Linked DNA regions of Rattus norvegicus. The protein of the gene in region 4 interacts with the protein of the main gene of each other region in a pairwise test. Links are inferred from orthologs where the notes say so. Each region holds a gene or a part of one and is shown on either strand. Other genes may lie near its edges. The genes, in order: Ccnh, Bicdl2, Tsnax, Klc3 and Cep57l1.

Region 1 (4,248 bases), on a different chromosome or scaffold from region 4:
ACCCCAACAATGGTCAGCAGTGAATGGGAAGTCCAAGAATCTGGTAGTTGCTCAGTCCCTCCAGGCTAGTTGTTTCAGTTGGTTTTCCATAGAAGGTTCCAACGGATGTGCTGGCAAGTAAATGCAAGCAGGCGAGAAGAATGAATCTTCCTTCTTCCAAAGTCCTTATGTAGGCCTCCAGCAGGTGTGTGGCCCAGAAGGCATGTACCACCATGCCTGGATCTGGGACCTATTTTTGTCTCAGGCTGACTTTGAACTCAGAGATCTCCTTGCCCCAGTCTCCTGGGATTAAAGGAGTATGCATACTTCCTTGCCTGGGCCTAACCTTGTCATAGCCACTGTGCTTCAAGATCTCTATGCCAAGATCCAGGTTGGAATCTTGTGTCTTCCAGCCTCAAGACAGGGTCACAGGTGAGCCCTCCAATTCTGGGTTGTGGTTCATTTCGGATATAGTCAAGTTGATAACCAGGAATAGTCATTACAACATGCATACCATATACACAAAGATATGCAAAACTTACTTCAAGTTATGTAAGTAAAATTGATCCTTATTCTTCTGGTCCTCTTTTCTCCCTTTCCTGTTAAGAGCACATAATCTTGAATTCTTTTAATTTTCTCCTTATCCTAGAGATTTTAGGATAAGACTTTAAGAAATGGGATATTTCCTCAAAGCAAGAAAGGAAATCCTAGTACTATCTATGTGTGTGCTCTTGCTGGTAACTTTAGTAAAGTATGTAAAACCTTTCTTTGGAGACCATGCTCTGCAAAGCCAGATCTGTGATTGCAATACTCAGATTATAAATTATATTGGCACTCAAAATACTTAAGAGTCTGTCTACAAACAATACATAGGACAATTTAAGACTGCACAAAGACATTTGTGTTTGTTTACAAAAAAAAAAAAAGCACTGAAAAATTTCCAGGTAATAATTTACATCTTGGCGGTGTCCAATAAAACAGAATTGTAAAACTAGCATCCACTTTGTCTTCGGAGATGGGAATACTGGGAAGATTAAAAACCTCTGGAGAAAGGTTGCATTAGCTGTAGCTTGAATTCGCATCCAGCACTTCCATTTTCCAATCAAGTCCCTCTCTCCACAGGTCCTGAAGTCCCTAGTGCTCACGAGTCCTCGGGAACCAGGATCACTGCAGCCGCACCCACTTCTGACGCTACCAGGCCACGTCCGTCAGACTCCTCCCCAAGCCTGGGAGCCCCGAGGCTCCGCCCTCCCACGTCGCGGAATCCCTCCCTAGGGTTCCGGAAAGGCCCCGGGCAGACGCAGGCACGTGACCGTGACGTCACGCGCGCGCCTGCGGTCTGGGCCGAGGGTTCTCGCGTTGGCAGTCGCTCGTGGCTGCTGTCTCCCGGAGTGTCGCTGTTTCTGTCTCGGCCCTGCGGCCCGTGAGGGCTACAGCATGTACCACAACAGCAGCCAGAAGCGGCACTGGACCTTCGCTAGCGAGGAGCAACTGGCGCGTCTGCGGGCCGACGCCAACCGCAAATTCAAGTGCAAAGCTGTGGCTAACGGGAAGGTGAGGTCCCCGCGAGCCAGCCCCTGTGCCCACCCTGAACCTGGGGACCCTCCTGAAGTCTCGCTTTGCCTGCCGGCTGGAAGCTTGTAAACCGCTCACCTGGCCGTGTCAGTGCAGACAGTGACTGACGCGACAGTCAAGTCCCGGGCGAGTAACATCCTAGGGAATAGCGAAAGCCTTGATAGAGTGCGGATTTTAGTGCGGGACTCGAACTGGTCACTGGTCTTTCGGGATGTCAGGACAAACCATTATCTATAGTTGGCAGGAGGGAGGGCAGAAACAGCCGTTGGTGTCTAGTTGTGAGTCAGACTCGAAGGAAAGTATGTGGAGTGCTCGTGGTCATTCGTGGGTGAAGCTGTACCTCTGTGGCAGTGGTTGAAGAACATGGGCAAGCAACTTGTAAGTGGAAGTGTAAGGAGGATGAAGCTCATGCCAGAACTGAAGGGGACTTTCCAAAGACTTCAAATGGGAAAATGATGGCTTGTTGGATCTGCTTTCCAGAAACAACCTGAACTCAGAATGTTGCACAAGGAAGCCAGTTGAGTATGGCTTGTTCTATGGTACTGGTCTTCCTTCAAGTTTCCCACTCATTTTTATTGTACTGCCCTGAGGTAACTCAGGCAAATAAGATTTGTATTCCCAAAACAAGAAGGTGGCCAATGAATTGAGGTGGTGGTGGTTGTTGTTGTTGATGATGATGATGATGATGGTTTAATTTGGGTGACACATTGATTGGCTGAGAAAACTACTTTGGGAGATTTCCAACAAGTGAAAATATGTATCTTCTTTTTAACTTACAAATAGTGGTTTCAAACCTGGGAGTATATTGGCATACTCTGTCATGATTGTTTAAAAATGTCCAAATTGACAGTTTGAGAACTTGTGAAATGAAGACCTAGATTCCGTTTATTGATTTTGTGTATTATTTTCCTAGATATTTTGCTTAATGCCTAGCAAACTTACAAAGAGAAAAAAATGTAAGGTCTGTTTTTTGTTGATGGTATGAGTCAGATTTAAGCAAGACAGAGAAGACAGTTGTACAATTAATGCACTGAACTTACATTGAATTGTTTGCTCTGTCTAAAGGTTCTTCCAAATGATCCGTTGTTTCTTGAGCCTCATGAAGAAATGACACTTTGCAAATACTATGAAAAAAGATTGTTGGAATTTTGTTCAGTGTTTAAACCAGCTATGCCACGGTCTGTTGTGGTAAGTAGTTGTAAAGAAGAATATGCTTGTTAGCTAGCTTGAGAGAACTGAACTCTTACTCTTCACCCTTCCTCCCCACCCCCCACCCCCGATAATTTTATTTTTCACATTACATTCCAATCATACCACCACTACCACTACCACCTCTTCTCACCCTTTGCAAATCTCAGAGAAGGGAAGCCCTTCCCCCTTTGGGTACCACCCTAGATCTACTCCCAGAAGCATCTTCTCTTCCACTGAGGCCCAACATTCAAGTCATTCAATTTGGGAAAGAGGATCCGATGGCAGGCAACAGAGTTAGAGACAGCCCCTACGCCAATTGTTAGGGACCCATATGAAGATCAAGCTGCACATGTGCTACAAATATGGAGGGGGTCCTAGATCCAGCCCTCTTTGGTTGGTGATTCAGTCTCTGTGAGCCCCCATGGACCCAGGTTAGTTGGCTCTATAAGTCCTTTTCTGGTGTCCTTGACTCCTCTGGCTTGCTCAAGTCTGTCCCCCAGTCTTCCACAAAACTCCCCAAGTTCTTGATGTTTGTCTCTGGGTCTCCGCGTCTGTTTCCATCTGGGCCTAGATGAGGCGTCTCAGGAGACTGTTATGTAAACTCCTGTCTGGAGGCACAGCAGCGTTTCAGTAATAGCGTCAGTTGTCTCTTTCCCATGGGCTGGGTCTCAAGTTGAGCCAGTCACTGGTTGACCTTTCTCTCTAGTCTCTGCTCCATCTTCAATCTTATCTTACAGGCTGGACAAATTTTGGGTTGATGGGTTTGTGGATGGATGGGTTGATGTCCTCCTCCTTTCACTGGCAGTCCTGGCTAGCTACAGGAGGTGGATATTTCAGTCTCTATATCCCCTGGTCATAGGAATCTCAGCTAGAGTCACCCCCAGAGACTCCCCAAGCCTTCCCTAGGTGATAGTCTCAAGTTCTGTCTATTTCCCTCCAATTTCATGATGTGTTTGTTTTTAATAGCTGAATAGTATTCCATTCTGTAGATATACCACATTTTTTAAATTCATTCTTCCATTGAGGGACATTGGGTTGTTTCCAGTTTCTGGCTATCATAAAAAAAGATGCCATGAACACAGTTGAGCGTGTGTCCCTGTAGAACAGTGGAGCATCTTTTTGGTATATGCCCAGAAGTGGTTTAGCTGGGACTTAAGATCTATTCCTAATTTTCTGAGAAACTGCCAAACTGATTTCCAAAGTGGAGCTAAGGATGTTGAACATTTCTTCGGTGCTTCTCAGCCATTTGAGATTCCTTTGTTGAGAATTTTGTTTAGCTCTGTACCCCATTTTTAATTGGTTTATTGGGTTCTTTATATATTTTGGATATTAGTCGTCTGTTGGACAGTCCTGTACAATAAAAGAACTTCTGGAGGTATCACCATCCTTGATTTCAAGCTGCACTACACAGCAGTAGTAATAAAAACTGCATGGTACTGGAATTAAAACACACAGGTTGATCAGGGGAATAGAATCAAAGACCTTGAAAACACCCACACACCT
Region 2 (4,337 bases), on a different chromosome or scaffold from region 4:
AGAGAGGACCAACGTTGTACCCAGGGTCACAGAGCCAGACAGGGATCTGAACACAGGTCTTGTTTGTCCTTAAGTTTTTTATCTGTCATTGAGATGGGATCTCACTATGCAGTCCTGGCTGGTCTAGAGCTTGTGGAGACCAGCTTGGCTTCACATACCTGCCTGTCCCTGCCTCCTGGGATGCCCGGATTGAGCTGTGCTCTACCACACCCTGCCTGAGATATTTATTGATTATGTATTGCTGGGCTGGGGACTGAACCCAAGGCCTTGCACGTGTTACAAAAATACCTTGTTACTGAACTACACCTCCAATTTAGAGTTCTTGTTGTCGTTCTTTCTTTCTTTTTTTTGGGTCTCATGTAGCCCAAGATGGGTTCAAGCTCAGTATATAGCCAAGTACAGCCTTGAACGTCCTGCTTTCACTTTCCAACGGCTGCATACAGGAGCTGCTGGTTTGCGTTTACCTGGCAAGAACTCTGTCATCATACCAAGTACCCATCATCCCCCACTGCTCTTCTTTTCTTAGCTTTTATTTTTTTAAATTAATGTGTATGTGCGAGTCCTTTCTCTATGTGTGTGTTTTCTTTCTTTCTTTCTTTCTTTCTTTCTTTCTTTCTTTCTTCCTCATATTTTTGGTTGTGAGCCTAGCCTTAAATGGCTGAGCCATCTCTCCAGCCCCTTTCTTTCTTTCTTTTCTTTTTCTTTCTTTTTTTTTTTTTTTTTTTTTTTTTTAGTTCTTTTTTTCGGAGCTGGGGACCGAACCCAGGGCCTTGCGCTTCCCAGGCAAGTGCTCTACCACTGAGCTAAATCCCCAACCCCCCTTTCTTTCTTTCTTAAAGATATATAAGTACACTGTCGCTGTCTTCAGACACACCAGAAGAGGGAATCAGATCCCATTTCAGATGGTTGTGAACCACCATGTGGGTGCTGGGAATTGAGCTCAGGACCTCTGGAAGAGCATTCAACCGCTGAGCCCTCTCTCCAGCCTCTCTTCCTTCCTTTTTTTTTTTTTTTTTTTTTTTTTTTTGAGACAGGATTTTACTCTGTAGACCAAGCTGGCCTTGAACCCACAGAGATCATTCTGCCTCTGCCTTCCAAGTGTTGGGATTAAAGATTAAAGGTTTGTGCTACCATGCCTGGCTCTTTTTCTCTGGGGACAGGTCTTGGATGTAGTCTTTCTCAGCCTCTGGAGTGTTGGGACTACAGGCTTGCCCTCTCCCTGGCTTCCCTGCCCAGATCTGTTTGAGATCTGTTGCTCTCCCATATGTCCTCTCTCCTTCTCCTCGCTTGGCTCTTCCCGTCTATCCCAGCCCTGCCTGTGCCCCCCCCCCCCACCTGTCCCGGGCCAGCTTACTTCTTCATGCTCCAAGTGCTGAGCGTTCAGTGTTTCCAGCTGCCTCCGAAGCTCCTCATTGCGCTCCAGAAGCATCTTGCCAAGCTCGGCGGCCAGCAACAGGTCCTTTTCTTTTTGTTGCAGCTGCAGTGCCAGGTCCTCTGGTTCTTCTGGCCCTGGGCCTCCTCCCAGGAAGGAGTCTCGACGCTCCAGCACAAAGGGAAAGAATCCTTCATCGCCACTAGGAGAAGCACCCCCTGAGAGCAGCCCGGAAGAGAAGCTTGGCCCACCAGGGGAGTCCATGGTGCCTACGCATCTGTGAAGACAGGTTGTTGCTGAACATGGCCATTCTGCAGCAGCCCCCGGGCTTGCCCCCTAGTGGCAAACACCTAAGCTTCTCAATCTTGTAGCCTGGGCCAACAAGGGTTAATGATCCTTGTTGGCCACCCAGCTCCGTTAATGACCTCAGGGTAGATTGAGTCTGGAAGCAGAATGAAACCAGCCACCTTGCTCTCCACCTCTCCTGCCTTTGTCACCCATTCGTTGGAAGATTTGTCCCTGTACTCTGGTGCCACAAGCAACCCACTGACAGACCCTGCTCCTCTTCCTAGTTCCTCACCACTTGGGCACTAATCCTAGAATGGTAGGCTCACATAGACGCAGTCTTAGGGATGAAACCAACTCCCTATCTTGAGAGTGCAGTTCTCACCAGTGGGAACAGCTGTGTCTTGACCCTTTAGCCACAGGGATCCAACTCCTTCCCCTTCCAGAAACTCAGATCTCTGGCTCTTTGCCTTCCCATATCCTTGTCTACTTTCTCAGGACCCAAGTGCGTTAGACTTGGTTTAGCCTTGTCAGCTTTGATGGCCATCGCGCCCCTCTCCTGGATTCCTAGTGGGATCTCCTGAATCCTTATTTTATCAAGACTCAGGTATTCCTGCCTCTACCCCTCCTGACTTAGGAGCCTTCGTCCGCAGACCCCCAATTTCCTTGGTCCCTGGCGCTGACCCAGCACAGGGCGAGGTAACAGGTTGTGCCAGCCAGCGCGCCACAGCCTCCACTTCGGGTTTCTGTTTACTTCCCGGCCCGCCCCTGGGGATGGGAGCCCTATGCTTTATGAGGGCCTCCCAGGGAGAGGGGTTCAGGGGCTCCAGAGGAAAGGCCTGACACTCTGATTTCTCCACGCCAACCCCGGTAGGGTCCCCGCCCCCTACTCACCCGGGAGCCCACGAACACCTGTTCCCCTCCCCTCGACAGGTGCCAAGTACAGCTGGGCCGGAAAATCCCAGGTGTTATACATGTCCGGGTCCAGCTGTCCTAGGGGCTGGGCACAGTGGGTTCCCGGACCCTGCTTTTGGATATCCAATGCCCAGCCACCACTCTCATTGCTGCAGGTGTCCTGGCTTCCCGGAGTTACTTCCAGAGTCCCTAGAGGCTGTTCCCGATCGCCTTCATCCTACCGTTCCGACCGGTCCTCCCCAACCATGCCCCAAACCTAGGTGTCCCGCCCTCAGCACCCCCTAGGCTCTCACCTGTCGCCACCCGGCTCTCTCCGAGGTTCCCCGATCCCCGAAGACCTCTTCCGGAGGCGGCGCCAGGTGCAGGCTTGCACAGGTGACGGGGCGGTGCTGCGGGAGGGGCTGGGTCGCCCCCTGGTGGTGGGAATGACTGGACACTGCCAAAGGAAAGTCCCATCCATCCTCTTAAAGAATCTATCTTGCTCCTACTGGGCACATTAATTGAACACCTACTATGTGCAGCTCTATAGGCTCAGCAAAGTAGTCAGCTTCTTACTCTTCATGCTTGCCCTTGTGATAGAAAATTATTAGTAAGGATACAGTGGTAAGCCCTCCACTAAGAAAGGAATTTATTTTTCCCTTTGTGACATCCTAAGGAAGCAAGCAGCTACTGACAGGTTTGTTTTTTTTTTTTAACTTGGGGTACAAATTTGTTGTCTTACTCATTTTTATATTGCTGTGACAAAGCATTATGATCAAGGCAACTTATAAAAGAAAGCATTTATTTTGAGGGTTGGAGACCACGAACAAGGCTGGGAGCATGGCAGCAGGCAGGCAGGCTTGGTAGTGGAGCAGTAGGTAGTGAGAGCTTACCTCTGATACATGGGCAGGAAGGAGAGTGAGGATGAAGAGTGAGGACCTGGCATGAGCTTGTCTTCCAATAAAGTTTGGCTTCCTAATCCTTCCCAAACAGATCAACCAACTGGGGATAAAGCCTTCAAATATATGAGCCAATGGGGGACAGGGAGGTGTTATCATTTGGAACAGTGAACGTGTGAGGAGGAATCTCTGTGTGTGTGTGTGTGTGTGTGTGTGTGTGTGTGTGTGTGTGTGTGTGTGTGAGAGAGAGAGAGAGAGAGAGAGAGGTGGGGGGGGGTCTTCATGTATCACAGGGTGGCCTCAAACTCACTAAACAGCGGAGGACTGGGAGCTTCCGGTGCTCCTGGCTCTACCTCCTGGTGGTTGATATGGTGACGGCCATGCACCACCCCACACTCAGCTAATGCTGGGGTTTGAATCCAGTGCCCAGTGTGTGCTAGGTAAGTACTCTACCGACTGACTATATTGCCAGTTCTGGTATCTTATTCTTTAATAATTCCGTGCAGCATACAGGACGCTGATTCCCAGGCACTTAAGGTGGCTTGCCTTGAAGCACACCTGCGTCCACGTGGCTCCAGATGAGGGGGGTCTCAGTTCTTTCTTTCTGCAGAGTTGGGCTTCATGCTCCAGCAAGACCAGCAGTCATGGTATGGAGGGGTAGGAGCCAAGGCAGGTGATGTCGGACCAGCTCACAAAGTGAAACCCCAGCCTTGGTCTTATGGCTCCTAGTAATCCACTTTAGACACTAGGGCTTCCTGAAGCACAGGACAGGAATCCCAGACCTGATGCAGAGAACAAACACATTTCTGGGGAAGTGGCGTGCAGGCAAATGTTTAACACTGGGGTCTCTGGGGAGAATGAAAGCTGTAGCTTGTTACATTTACTGG
Region 3 (3,785 bases), on a different chromosome or scaffold from region 4:
TTGTACCCGTGTCAGTGACACATACCACCTAGGCAGAAGAATTGACACTTTGTACCCGTGTCAATGACAGTACTACTGAGGCAGAAGAATGGACACTTTGCACTGGTGTCAAGGCTGGGCAAGCAATGTAGACAATTACCTATTTTGAAAACACCCACCTCTAGGTGACCAGACACTCATCTAACCCATCATTCACTCTTGAATAAAATAATTACATTACTTAGGAGTTAAGCAGTTTATTTTACACATGTAAACATCTCAAAACATGGTAAGTATCAGTGAGTAGACTAAGCTAAAACAGTATGAAAATTTGTTTAAGATGCAGGACATTCCCCAACCTGTTAACTTCTCAACAACAGAAGACGTCATGGAAACGTCTTACGTTCCAAGCAGTTAGTGGGCGTGTACTTGTCCAACTGTGCCTTTGGACAGTTCAGTCTGCCTCAGCCCGGGTGCACTGCTGAACCATGAAGCTGTCTGTGCTCACAGCCCTCTCAGGGAAACACCGTGCCCCACTACCAGCACTGTGCTTAATAAGCACAAAACTCCTTAGTTCAAAGCCAGACCTATTTTATCTTCAAGTCAAAAGAACAGCCTTTCGGAGAAACAGCAAAGCAAGCAGTTACCAATGACACCAGCAGCTTTTCATGGCCTCCTGCCATCCACACTATACATACGTTTCTTTTCCTAAGTGCAACTGAAGCAACTTTCACAGTCACAGATGCAGCTCCCTGTGGAGCTGGAGAGCAGGTGCCACTGCTGCTTCTGTTCAGCACTTCCCTGTACAGCCAGGTAAGGCAGCACTGCACACACACAGTGTGTGTGTGTGTGTGTGTGTGTGTGTGTGTGTGTGTGTGTGTGTGTGTGTGAAGTTCTTTGCATGGCATCAGCAGATAGCTCAGTGGGTAGAGCACCTGCCACCAAGCCGATGTCCTAAGTTCAATTACTGAGGCCCCCATGGTGGAAGGAAAAACCAGTTGCCACAAGCTGTGCTCTTCCCTCTGCACACGAGGGCTCCTTCAGACTCACCTGTGGTGACAGCACGATGGAACTGGTGCATGTCTTCTCCTGAGAGCTCTTGGGCTACCTGCAGCATTTTCTGTCTGACCCCATCCAGCTTACTTTCTGATTCAGTCAGAATCTCCTCCATATCAGGAGCACTGGAAAGAGATCAGGAACCTTGAAAACGTCGGCCTTGTGATCAAAATGATAAGAAAAGCCCTATTCATAGCAATCAGCCTCTGGACTTGGCTGCTTCCACCTAAAACAACTCAAATTAATAGAGCGTGCCAACAAAGGTCTCAAACACTGCACCCAAGCACGCGGACATCAGACAGGACAACAATCAGGGTCCTGAAGACACACCCAATGTCCAAGTCAAGGCTTGGAGAAGTTTCCTCCTGACAAGGTAGGAAGGAAGAACCTAGGCAGAGCCAAAGTCCTGAGTTGAAAAGTTGAAAGTTTAAGGAGGTCACGAACTAAGGTCATGGATGAACAGGCAGGGCAGAGAGCAAGGGAGAGTCTCGGGAGGACAGTGCTTTAACACACTGCACTGTAAGGGACTCCCCAAGTCTCCGACTGAGTACAGGTTGCTGCAGTGGCCGGGTACTCGAGTGGGTAGGCAGACAGGCAGAACAATCCCACAGCCTCCAAAGCGGGAAGAGCCCACTCATCAGCAGGACACTGCATGTGCATGAACCGAGTCCTTCAGGCACAGAGAAACTCATCCCAGATGGGCATGGGGGTCCATGTGACTGCAGGGCCAATGTGTGTCTGTGCATCTGTAGGATGAATGGTGTCCTGCAGGTAGGATGAACAGAGGTGACAGAACTGCCACGGTGGCCCAGAAAGCTGGGGTAGGAGGGAAAGGAAGCCTCCTTGTATGCTAAGCCGTGCAGCTGCGGTAAAGCGACACAGGAGCAGCCCTTATCTCCAGGGCAGTGCAAGAGCTGACAGGCACCTCAACACAGACCTGAAGTCACCACCTTAGCTGCCATACAGAAGCACCTAAGTGAGTCTGGTCTCCATAAGCTCCAGTTACCCAGTACTATCTGAGAGAGATGATCCAGACTGTTGAGACACACATCGAACTCAATTAAGCAATCACGAACACACACACACACACACACACACACACACACACACACACACACACACACACACAGGGGTACAAAAAATATCCAATCCAGGGCCACTGATGCTGTGCCAGCCTAGATACCTGGAGTTGATTTCCGGACACAGGTTCAAGCAGAATAAGAAAATGTACCCCACAAAGCTATCCCCTGGCTTCCACATGCAGGTAAATAACACATAAAATAATTCTAAAACAGATAACAGTTGCTGGCTGGTGGTGACACAGGCCTATAGTCCCAGCACACAGGAGGCAGAGGCAAACACATCTGAATCCAAGACTAGCCTGATCTACAGAGTGAGTTCGAGGACAGCCAAGACTACACAGAGAAACCCTGTCCTGAAAAAAAAAAAAAAAACGTCCTTTTTTCCTTTCTTCTGGTACCAGCTGCTTGCTGTCGAAATGGGCAAGTTCATGAAGCCCAGGAAATTAGTGCTGGTCCTGGCTGGACAGCACTCCAGACACAAAGCCGTCATCCTGAAGATCACTGATGATGGTACCTCAGACACCCTCACAGCCATGCCCTGGTGGCTGGAATTGACCACTATCGCTGAAAAGTGTCAGCTGCCATGGGCAAAAAGATTGCCAAGAGATCCAAGATCAAGTCCTTCGTGAAAGTTTTTAACTACAACCACCTCATGCCCGCAAGGTACTCTGGGGATATCCCCTTGGACAAAACTGTTGTCAACAAGGATGTGTTCAGAGACCCAGCTTTGAAATGCAAGGCCAGGCTTGAGGCCAAGGTCAAGTTTGAGGAGTGATACAAGACGGGAAAGAACAAATGGTTTTTCCAGAAGTTTCAATTTTAGGTATTTTTTTTTGTTTCCATCATTAAAAACTAAAACAAACAAACAGTAAGAATAGTCAGTTCAGACCCTGGGGATAAGATTCAATGGGTGAAGTACGTGCTATGGGACCCTGAAGGCCTGAGTTCAGACCCCCTGAACTCTAGTAAAAGCCCAGCCACGGTGTTGAACATCTTTAATTCCTATGGTCAGAGGAGCCACACGGATGCCTGCAGCTCAGGGCCAGTCTGGGCAAAGCAGCAAGCTCTAGGTTCAGTGAAAACCCTATCTCAAAACAAGTCTAAGTCAGAGAACAGAAGAATCAGAAGCAGCACCCACCCTCCATGTGCACCTGCAAACAGACACACTCAATCCAGAGTGAGACAGAAGCCAGTATGGTGGCACACACCTACAGGTCCACCACAAGAGATGAGAAGGCAAAAAGAACCCTGAGTTCAGCCTGGACTACAGAGACTATGGCTCCAAAGACAACAGAGGGCTGGAAAGAAGGCTCAGAGGGTAAGGCAAGCAGCACAACAAAAGGACAAAGGACAAGAAACAGACAAAGCAAGAAAGAAAGAGAATCCAGACCCATCACTAAACAAACGACCTTGTAAGCGCCCCCACCAGCTGTCATAAATTACCGGGATTGATTTTTAAAATGTAAGAGAAACAAGAAATCCAACTTAAAAGTAGATATGCATTGTTTTGGTTTGTTTTTAAAGGAAGCTGGTGTGGGTATATATGTCTCTAATCACAGCACTTAGGAGGTGGGCACAGGATCATAAGATCCTGTCTCAAAAAAGAAAATCGATGAACAGGGGAGCCAATAGCCAGAAATGAAATGGTGGTAAAATAAGATAGCACTT
Region 4 (4,305 bases):
AATTTAAAAATACACACACACTCGGGGTTGGGGATTTAGCTCAGTGGTAGAGCGCTTGCCTAGCAAGCGCAAGGCCCTGGGTTCGGTCCCCAGCTCCGAAAAAAAGAACCAAAAAAAAAAAAAAAAGGAATAAATCTTCAAAATAAACAAACCCCTCTTGTTTATATGTCTGTACGTATACACGAACACACATGTATGTCTGCACATGTTCCATCCATGCATGTGGAGGCCAGGCTCTCCTTGGACGACTCCTGAACAATTCCCAGGAGTCAGTTTTCAGGCTCCATTTGGTTCTTGGAGATGAAACTCAGGTTCTCAAGCATGGCAGATAGCGTTTTTACTACCGTCTTGTCAGCCGGAAAGAAACTGTTGTGTAAGGTTCTGAGGTTGCAATTATTGAAACAGTATTTTTGGAGGTTTTTATCTTTATGTGCATGCTGTGTCTGTGGAGGCCCTGGAAGAGGGTGCTGAATCCCCCGGAACTAGAGTTACAGATGATTTTGAGCAACATGTGTGGGTTCTGGGAATTGAACCTGGGTCCTCTGCAAAAGCAGCCAGCGTTCTTACCTTAGGAGCCATCCTTCCAGCCCCTTCAAGAAAGTTCTTTTTTTCTTTTTTCTTTTTTTCGGAGCTGGGGACCGAACCCAAGGCCTTGCGCTTGCTAGGCAAGCGCTCTACCACTGAGCTAAATCCCCAACCCAAGAAAGTTTTAATTACGTTTTTATGTGTTTACTTCATATGTGTGAACGTATGACTGTACACATGTAGAAGTCAGAAGACAACATGTGAGAGCCCGTCTCTGTCCACCCTGAGGGTCTCAGGGATGGAACTCAGCCCCTCAGGATTGGCGGTAAGCACCTTTACTGTCTGAGCCTTCTCGCAGGACCCCAGACAGAGTTTACAAAAGTTCTTAAACTGCAGGCTTCTCCTACTGCAGCGGCGTAGGGCGTGCCCTGAGCACCTACAGGGGCGTGGCCTCCACCCGCCCCCGCCCCACCCCGATCCTAGACTGAGGATTTCTCAATGTGTGTCGACCGAGGGCGTGGCCTGCGCACCTGCGGGGGCGTGGCCTTGCCCTGCCCCATCCCCCTCAGGAGCCTCCCGGACCAGCGGCTTCGCAGCGGGAGCAGTCGGGTCTCCGCGCAGCGAGGCGGTTCAGACCGGCGGCCGTCAGGTGGGCACGGGAGACGGCGGCGGCTGCTTCGGGATTCCCGAGGGGGCCGCAGGGATGGAGAGAAGGGGCTATGGGTCTGGCGGCTCGGATGAGCCTCGGGGTCCCCGCGGGGCCCTGCCCCGCCCCTAGCCGGGTAGAAAAACAGCTGCGGGCGGGGCGGGGCCTTGTGACGCGAAGTACGGTGCAGGGTCTCCGCGGCCAGGGGAGAGGCTGGCGCGCTGTTGGAGAGTCCCCAGCTGCAGCCTGAGAGTGCAAGACGTGCATGGTGAGGGAGCCTGCGCGGGGGTGTGCAAAGAGAGGGAGTAAGGCAAGGGACACTGTGGAAACTGAGGCGGGGAGAACGGAGTTGAAGGCGAGCCTAGGCTTCGTACTCAAGGGAGACAGGAGGGTGGATTGTGGGTACAAGTGTCAAAGGGAGGAAGAAAAAGAAAAGGGGGAGAGAACCAACAAGGAGAGTAAAAGCACTTGTTGCCAAACTGTCAATTTCTCGAGTTTGGTCTGCAGGATCCACAAGGTGGGAGAAAAGAATGGACTCCCTTAAGTTGCAAGTTGTCCTCTGACCTTCCATGTGCCTCTGCCATACATAAAGGGAAAAAAATTAAATAAGGACCAGGCATCATGATGCACACCTTTAATCACAGCACTTGGGGGTGGGGGGTGGGGGCACAGAGGCAGATGGATTTCTGAATTTGAGGCCAGGTTGAGGGAATTCCAGGACAGCCAGGGCTACATAGAGAAGCTCTGTTTATATATTAAAGAAACTCTGTATCAATATATACATATATATACATATGTATATGTAAATTATATATCTTTTTTAAAGTAAGAAAGATTGTGGGTAAGAGTGTAAGAGTGTAAAAGGGAGATAGGTTACCATGTCACTCTGATGGGGACAGACCGAGTGAATGTAGGTGATCTTGTCTAATTGTCTCTGTGTGTGTGTGTGTGTGTGTGTGTGTGTGTGTGTTACATGTGGACTGTGCACAGTACTGAGCATGTGCGACTGAGATGCTGAGTCTGTGATCAGCTCTGTACTTGAGGCTGATTCACACGTATGACCATGGGTGACAGGGAATGGGCTGCCTAATGGGGTTGGATCTAGGTGTTATGTGACAGTTGGGGTGGAGTGTGTGGAATTGTGTCAGCGATATGTGACTGTCACTGACTAACTGTTGACTTTCTGGTTGTGTATCCCTGGGGTGGGGATCTGTGTGTGGGGGGGTATGAGTGTGACTGTGTCTGCAAGCTGGGGTTTGCATAGGTGTGTGTGTGTGCGTGCACGCTGTGTGCCTGCTGTGGACTGGTGAAACTCTCATGGGGCTCCTGTGAATGCTGGGGACAGCTCGAGTGGCAGATGGCTGCAGCTGAGCTGTGGCTGTCCCATGATTGTTGATCTGGGTATCAAGCTGTGGGAAGCTGCATATGGAGCAAAGGCTTCCTTGGGTCTGAGATTGTGCCATGGGGTGGTGACCCTGGCCACACTGGGGCAGAATGACTGGAGTCAGGATGGCTCACCCTGAGCTTGTGTGGTAAAGAGACTGACTACATGGTTTGTGAGGTTGAGCCCACTCGGGTTCCACACGCTCTCACCATGACCTTATTTATGTGTCTCTATATATGGTTTTGGTTTTGTTTGTAGAGATGAAGTGACCCTGAACACCGGATCCTCCCATTTCTTTTCTTTTCTTTTTTTTTTTTTTCCGGAGCTGAGGACCGAACCCAGGGCCTTGTGCTTGCTAGGCAAGCGCTCTACCACTGAGCTAAATCCCCAACCCCGATCCTCCCATTTCTGACTCTGAGTATTGGGATGACAGGTGGGAGAGGCCACATCTGGGGAGAAGTTGAAATGATTTTTTGGTTTTGTTTTGGTTTTGGTTTTTAGACAGAACTCACTCTGTAGACCAGGCTGGCTTTGGACTCAACGAAATCTTCCTGCCTCTGCCTCCTGAGTTGCTGGGCTTAAAGGTGTGACCACCATTCCTCTCCAGAGTCATAACCTGGTGGTACCCAGTTAGACCATTGGAATTAAGGTTTTGACTTTTTTTTTTTTTTTCCAGAGCTGGGGACTGAACCCAGGGCCTTGCGCTTGCTAGGCAAGTGCTCTACCACTGAGCTAAATCCCCAACCCCAAGGTTTTGACTTTTTAAAGCCTTTGGAAAAGCTGCTCACAAAGTAGAAAGTGTATTTCAGAGTTTGAAGTTGGGTCTCTTTTTGGGCTGGAATGCTGCAGGAGCACACACACACACACACACACACACACACACACGCACATGCATACACACGCACATGCATACACACACACACCTACTTGTTACTCTGAGATTTAGAAAACGCTGCTTCAGGCAGTCCCAAAATCATCAGAGGAAGTGGGGTGGGCACTGGACTCTGTGTGGAGCAGAGGATTATCTCTTTAAAAACTACATGTATTCAGCCCAACAGAGGTGGCTCATGCCTTTAATCCCAGCTCTTGGGAGGTAGAGGCAGGTGAATCTCTGAGTTCAAGGCCAGCCGGGTCTATAGAGTGAGTTCCAGGACAGCTAGGGCTACGCAGAGAAACGCTGTGTTGGAAACCAAACAAACAATAAACAAGCCCTCGACTAGTGCTGTCTGCCTGTACCAGTGCTTGAGGCGGCACAGGAAGGTTTAGCCAAGGATGGCTTGGAACCCCGATTTGAGAGCTCAGATCCCAGATTTGTACCATATGCCCATCCATCAACTTTTTATTTTTCCCTTATGGTATTAGGGATGGAATCCAGGGCCTTGGCAATGTTTGTCTAGCTGTGTTCCCAGTGTCTCCTTTTTCTTTTAAGATTTTTTTCTTTTTGAGGCAGAGTTTTTCTGTGTAGCTCTGGCTATCCTGGAACTCGAATTGTAGTCCAGGCTGGCCTGAACTCAGAGAGGCCTCTGCCTCCCACGTGTTGGGATTAAAAACGTGCCACTACCCCTTGCTACGATTTATTTTTATTTTATGTACATGAGCGTTTGCTTACAAGCATGTGTGTGCAGGAGGTGTGTGCAATACCCACATGGCCAGAAGAGGGCGTCAGATCCTCTGGAACTTGAATTGGTTGGAAGTCAGCATGTGGGTGCTCCGTCCTCTGCAAGAGCAGTAAGGGCTCTTCACCACTGGT
Region 5 (3,785 bases), on a different chromosome or scaffold from region 4:
CATGTGTTTATTAACAAGTCTCTTTATTGGCGCCTACTGAGTAGTCAGGATTTTATCAACATTAAACCTAAGCCAGTGTGTTTTGTTGCTTGTTGTTTGACAAGACCTCACTCATGTAGCCCAGGTTGGCCCTGAACTCCCAGGAGCAGAGAGTGACCTTGAACTCCTTATTCTCCTGTATCACCCTTCCTAGTGCTGGGATTCCGAAGGTACACAGCCCTGGTTTCTATGATGCTAGGGATGGTATAACCCTGGATGTCCTGGAACTCACCCTGGAGGCCAGGCTGGCCTCCAACTCGCAGAGATCCATTGCCTCTGCCTTCGAGAGCTGGGATGAAGGAGTGTGCCACCACTCCCAATCTTCTAATTTGTGCCAAGATCTGATCTGAAATATATTATACTTGGGTCAGAGTAGTCTTCATTTTCCAAACTGTGTAGAAACTGAGATATGTTTTATCCATCCCATTATTGGAGGGACAACCCAGGAACTGAGAAAGGAGCCATATATACTGAATGACTCTAGTGTTTTGAGGAGATTCTTACCAACCTCTCTGTTTCTGAAGATACATATCCACCTTCAGAACTTACGTTGGGACTCTAGTAGACTCCACCTCATAGTGAGCCAGCCGTGACTAGCTTAGTATCTTGCTTTTTTGAGGGAATCAGCCCTCACAGGAGAGACCGTGAATAAACAGCCATACCCCAAGGGCATTGGAGACAGGCTCAGTCAGTGGGAGTGGCTGCAATCATGGAGAAGCCTGGGTGCTTCCCAAGAGCAAAGAGCAGCAAGCGTTTCAATGAACCTGCCTCATGCAGCCATACGAGGTTGTCATGGCAATAGCTGCAGTAGAAAATTCTAGAAGCTACAGTAGAAAATTCTAGAAGCCTCCCTTTTGCCCTTCTCAGGAATACTGTCATGGAGAGAAGCCAGATTTTGCCTCTTTAACCAGGAAAGCCCTGAAGTCACAGAAAATAATGTAATGCAGAAATAAAAACTTAGTATCTTTATGACATTCTTTAGTTACATTTATAAAAAGCTCTCTGGCTTAGAATTGTGCCAGTGAGTGGTACTTGAAACAAATACTGCCTCAACTCATCCAGTGTATCTGTGAGTTAATGACACCAGCCAGCATTCAGTAGATAATTAGTGTGAAGGCTCCTTAAGTGGAAGTGTGTGTTACTCAGGGATTACATCCAGGAATTTCATCTGTTAATGTCTAAAAGTACTATGAGACTATTGTTAATGGCTGCTGTTGAAAACCTGAATTGTCTGAGTATGTACCTGAAATCCTAGACTCATAGTTTTATGGCTGAGGTACATGTAACTTAGGAACACCCAGGAAAAAACGTCTCTCGCTTACACCACATACATTGCTTGTTTATTACTGAGTTTAACCTAGTTGACGTGGTAATAGTTAACTTTGTGAATGTATAACTGTGTAATGTATTGCTAACGGCTACATGCTGTGTCATCGTGTGTGACTTAGCTGTCCTTTGATGGGGTCAGTGACACCACACCCTGTCTCTCCATCCCCACAGACAATGGATGCTGAATTACCGCACAGTATGATTGGGAGCTACCTTAACCCTCCAGAGAGAATGTATCTCCCGTCGTTCTCACAGACCGAAGCATCTCAGAATTGCCACCCCGGGAGCTCTCCTAAGATGTTTAATAGTCCGAACAACCAAGGTAACGCTAATACGAACGAACGAACTCCACAGAGCGGCAGGAGCAGTGCGTGGCGTGGGAGTGACCCGGCTGTGGTTATGCAGAAGTGCTTGACCGTGTATTGAGTGTTCACACAGCCCTTGACCAGCGCTGCTGCTCTTCCCTGGGAGCTTCGTAGGTCACTCACCATTCCCAAAAGTAAGCTACGGATTAATGAGGCAAACTAGGAGATATCATAGTTATAATAAAAGTACCTTTGAAAACAAAACCACTCTCTTAGGGATAAAAGTCAAAGGCCAGGGGAGTGGTAGCACGTGTCCTTCATCCCAGCTCTCAAGATGGAGATCTTCATGATTTTGAGGCAGCCTGGTCTATACAGCAAGTTTGAGGCAGCCAGGGCTAAATAAAGAAATCTTGCTGCCTCAGACAAACAAACAAAAAGAATAAAATTGTACTGCTAGCGTGATAAAGTAAAAATTTTTTTTTTTTTTGGTTCTTTTTTTTTCGGAGCTGGGGACCGAACCCAGGGCCTTGCGCTTCCTAGGTAAGCGCTCTACCACTGAGCTAAATCCCCAGCCCCTAAAGTAAAATTTTTATTTAGGTTTTTCTTAGCTTTTGTTTCAGGGTCTCACACTGACCTCGAAACACCTCTCCCTCCCCGTGCAGCCTCTGCAGTGCTGTCGCATAGGCAGGTGCCACCACACAGGCTGGGCCGCCAGACGGCGGGTCTGCACCTCCTTCCCACCACAGAGTTCGCCCTGGGCCCCATGGTTCTACACTCGCTAGCAGAGCAGAGCAGGGGGGCTTTCTAAGAATGCGTGCAGACCAGGCTTAAAACGATTTTCAACGATTTTCAATTTTTTTAATCTTAGTCACATGATTATGATGTTAGTCTCCATGGCTTCAGAAGGATGACATTTCACTGAGGAGCACTTTCTGCTTATCTCTTCTGACCTCTCAAAATGTCTGTTTATAAATTAGTCTTTTTCTATTAAATTTCTTGTCAATTTGGAAATAAAATAAAAATCCAAGGACTATCAATAGAGAGATGGTTCAGGGGTTAAGAATGCATTCCCAGCAGCCACATGGGCGAGGACTGGTGCTGGAGGGTTGTCCTTGGGCGTGTGTGTGTGTGTGTGTGTGTGTGTGCATGTGTGCATGCACGTGTGTGTGCCATGGCACATGTTCATCCACACACACGTGATGTACACATACAAATGAAAAAGTTAAATAAGTACATCAGTAAAAGATAGAATAAAAATCTAGAGTCAGAATCCTTCTAACGTAGATAATCAGAATGCCAGTGGGATTGTATCATATTCAAGCAGCAGTCAGAAGTCACACATATCCACAGTTACCCTTAAATCCTTTTATATCCAAGTAACAATAGAAAGTGACTATTGCAATGTTTTAAACATAAACCAAAGAGAACCTCAAATCATATTAGAAAATAGGACTCCAGAAATATTTTATGCTTTACAAATTACTTTATAAGATCTGTTTATCACCCTTCAAAAAATCCGTAGTAATGGTTACTGTCTTAGGATTTCTGTTGCTGTGATAAACACCATGACCAAATTCTGCGGTGAGGAAAGGGTTCATTTCCACTCATCACTGAGGGAGGCCAGGGCAGGAGGCAGGCGAGCTGTTTGCTTCCTTACTCCTCACGCTTGCTCAGCCTGCCTTCCTGTCGCACCCAGGATGACCAGCTCAGAGGCAGCTGCCAGCAGAGAGCCAGGCCATCCCCATCAATACATAAATGCACCACGGGCCAGCCTGGTAGAGGGCTGTTTCTCATTTCAGATTCCCTCTTCAGACGACTCTGACTTGTGTCGTGTTGATGGAAACCCACCAACACCATGACATCAGTGAATCTCTGTTGAGTTAACCAACCATAAGAGAGTGATCCAGAGCAGTGAGCCAGCCCTGCGCCAGGCAGAGAGCAGACATATCCCCAGCACACGTGGGCTGACTGCATACATGCCACTGACTGAATTACTTACATGCCCTTCAGATCTAGTTTTACCATTTGAATCACAACTGAATAGAAAACGTAAATCATGTTTGAAAATCCACTAACTCTAAATTCATCTGCACCATGAAGGCAGCATGCAGC

The links.
Region 1: the proteins of Klc3 (region 4) and Ccnh interact in binary tests that used the Homo sapiens proteins (3 or more experiments, as listed by UniProt). The two-hybrid records come from large-scale screens. The link is inferred for Rattus norvegicus from reciprocal best matches to the Homo sapiens genes KLC3 and CCNH.
Region 2: the proteins of Klc3 (region 4) and Bicdl2 interact in binary tests that used the Homo sapiens proteins (3 or more experiments, as listed by UniProt). The two-hybrid records come from large-scale screens. The link is inferred for Rattus norvegicus from reciprocal best matches to the Homo sapiens genes KLC3 and BICDL2.
Region 3: the proteins of Klc3 (region 4) and Tsnax interact in binary tests that used the Homo sapiens proteins (3 or more experiments, as listed by UniProt). The two-hybrid records come from large-scale screens. The link is inferred for Rattus norvegicus from reciprocal best matches to the Homo sapiens genes KLC3 and TSNAX.
Region 5: the proteins of Klc3 (region 4) and Cep57l1 interact in binary tests that used the Homo sapiens proteins (3 or more experiments, as listed by UniProt). The two-hybrid records come from large-scale screens. The link is inferred for Rattus norvegicus from reciprocal best matches to the Homo sapiens genes KLC3 and CEP57L1.

What each region holds. Positions count from the first base shown.
Region 1 is NC_086020.1:17,569,207-17,573,454, forward strand, and holds the start of Ccnh (cyclin-H), read left to right. Parts: upstream 1-1,287; 5' UTR 1,288-1,416; coding exon 1,417-1,533; intron 1,534-2,619; coding exon 2,620-2,742; intron 2,743-4,248. UniProt on the Homo sapiens protein: Regulates CDK7, the catalytic subunit of the CDK-activating kinase (CAK) enzymatic complex. CAK activates the cyclin-associated kinases CDK1, CDK2, CDK4 and CDK6 by threonine phosphorylation.
Region 2 is NC_086028.1:13,194,807-13,199,143, reverse strand, and holds the start of Bicdl2 (BICD family-like cargo adapter 2), read right to left. Parts: upstream 2,940-4,337; 5' UTR 2,866-2,939; intron 1,650-2,865; 5' UTR 1,637-1,649; coding exon 1,355-1,636; intron 1-1,354.
Region 3 is NC_086037.1:69,875,996-69,879,780, reverse strand, and holds part of Tsnax (translin-associated protein X), read right to left. Parts: exon of another isoform or gene 1,161-3,785; coding exon 1,030-1,160; intron 1-1,029.
Region 4 is NC_086019.1:88,180,528-88,184,832, reverse strand, and holds the start of Klc3 (kinesin light chain 3), read left to right. Parts: upstream 1-1,410; 5' UTR 1,411-1,439; intron 1,440-4,305. UniProt on the Homo sapiens protein: Kinesin is a microtubule-associated force-producing protein that may play a role in organelle transport. Plays a role during spermiogenesis in the development of the sperm tail midpiece and in the normal function of spermatozoa.
Region 5 is NC_086038.1:46,842,140-46,845,924, reverse strand, and holds part of Cep57l1 (centrosomal protein CEP57L1), read left to right. Parts: intron 1-860; exon of another isoform or gene 861-977; intron 978-1,539; coding exon 1,540-1,690; intron 1,691-1,714; exon of another isoform or gene 1,715-1,867; intron 1,868-3,785. UniProt on the Homo sapiens protein: Centrosomal protein which may be required for microtubule attachment to centrosomes.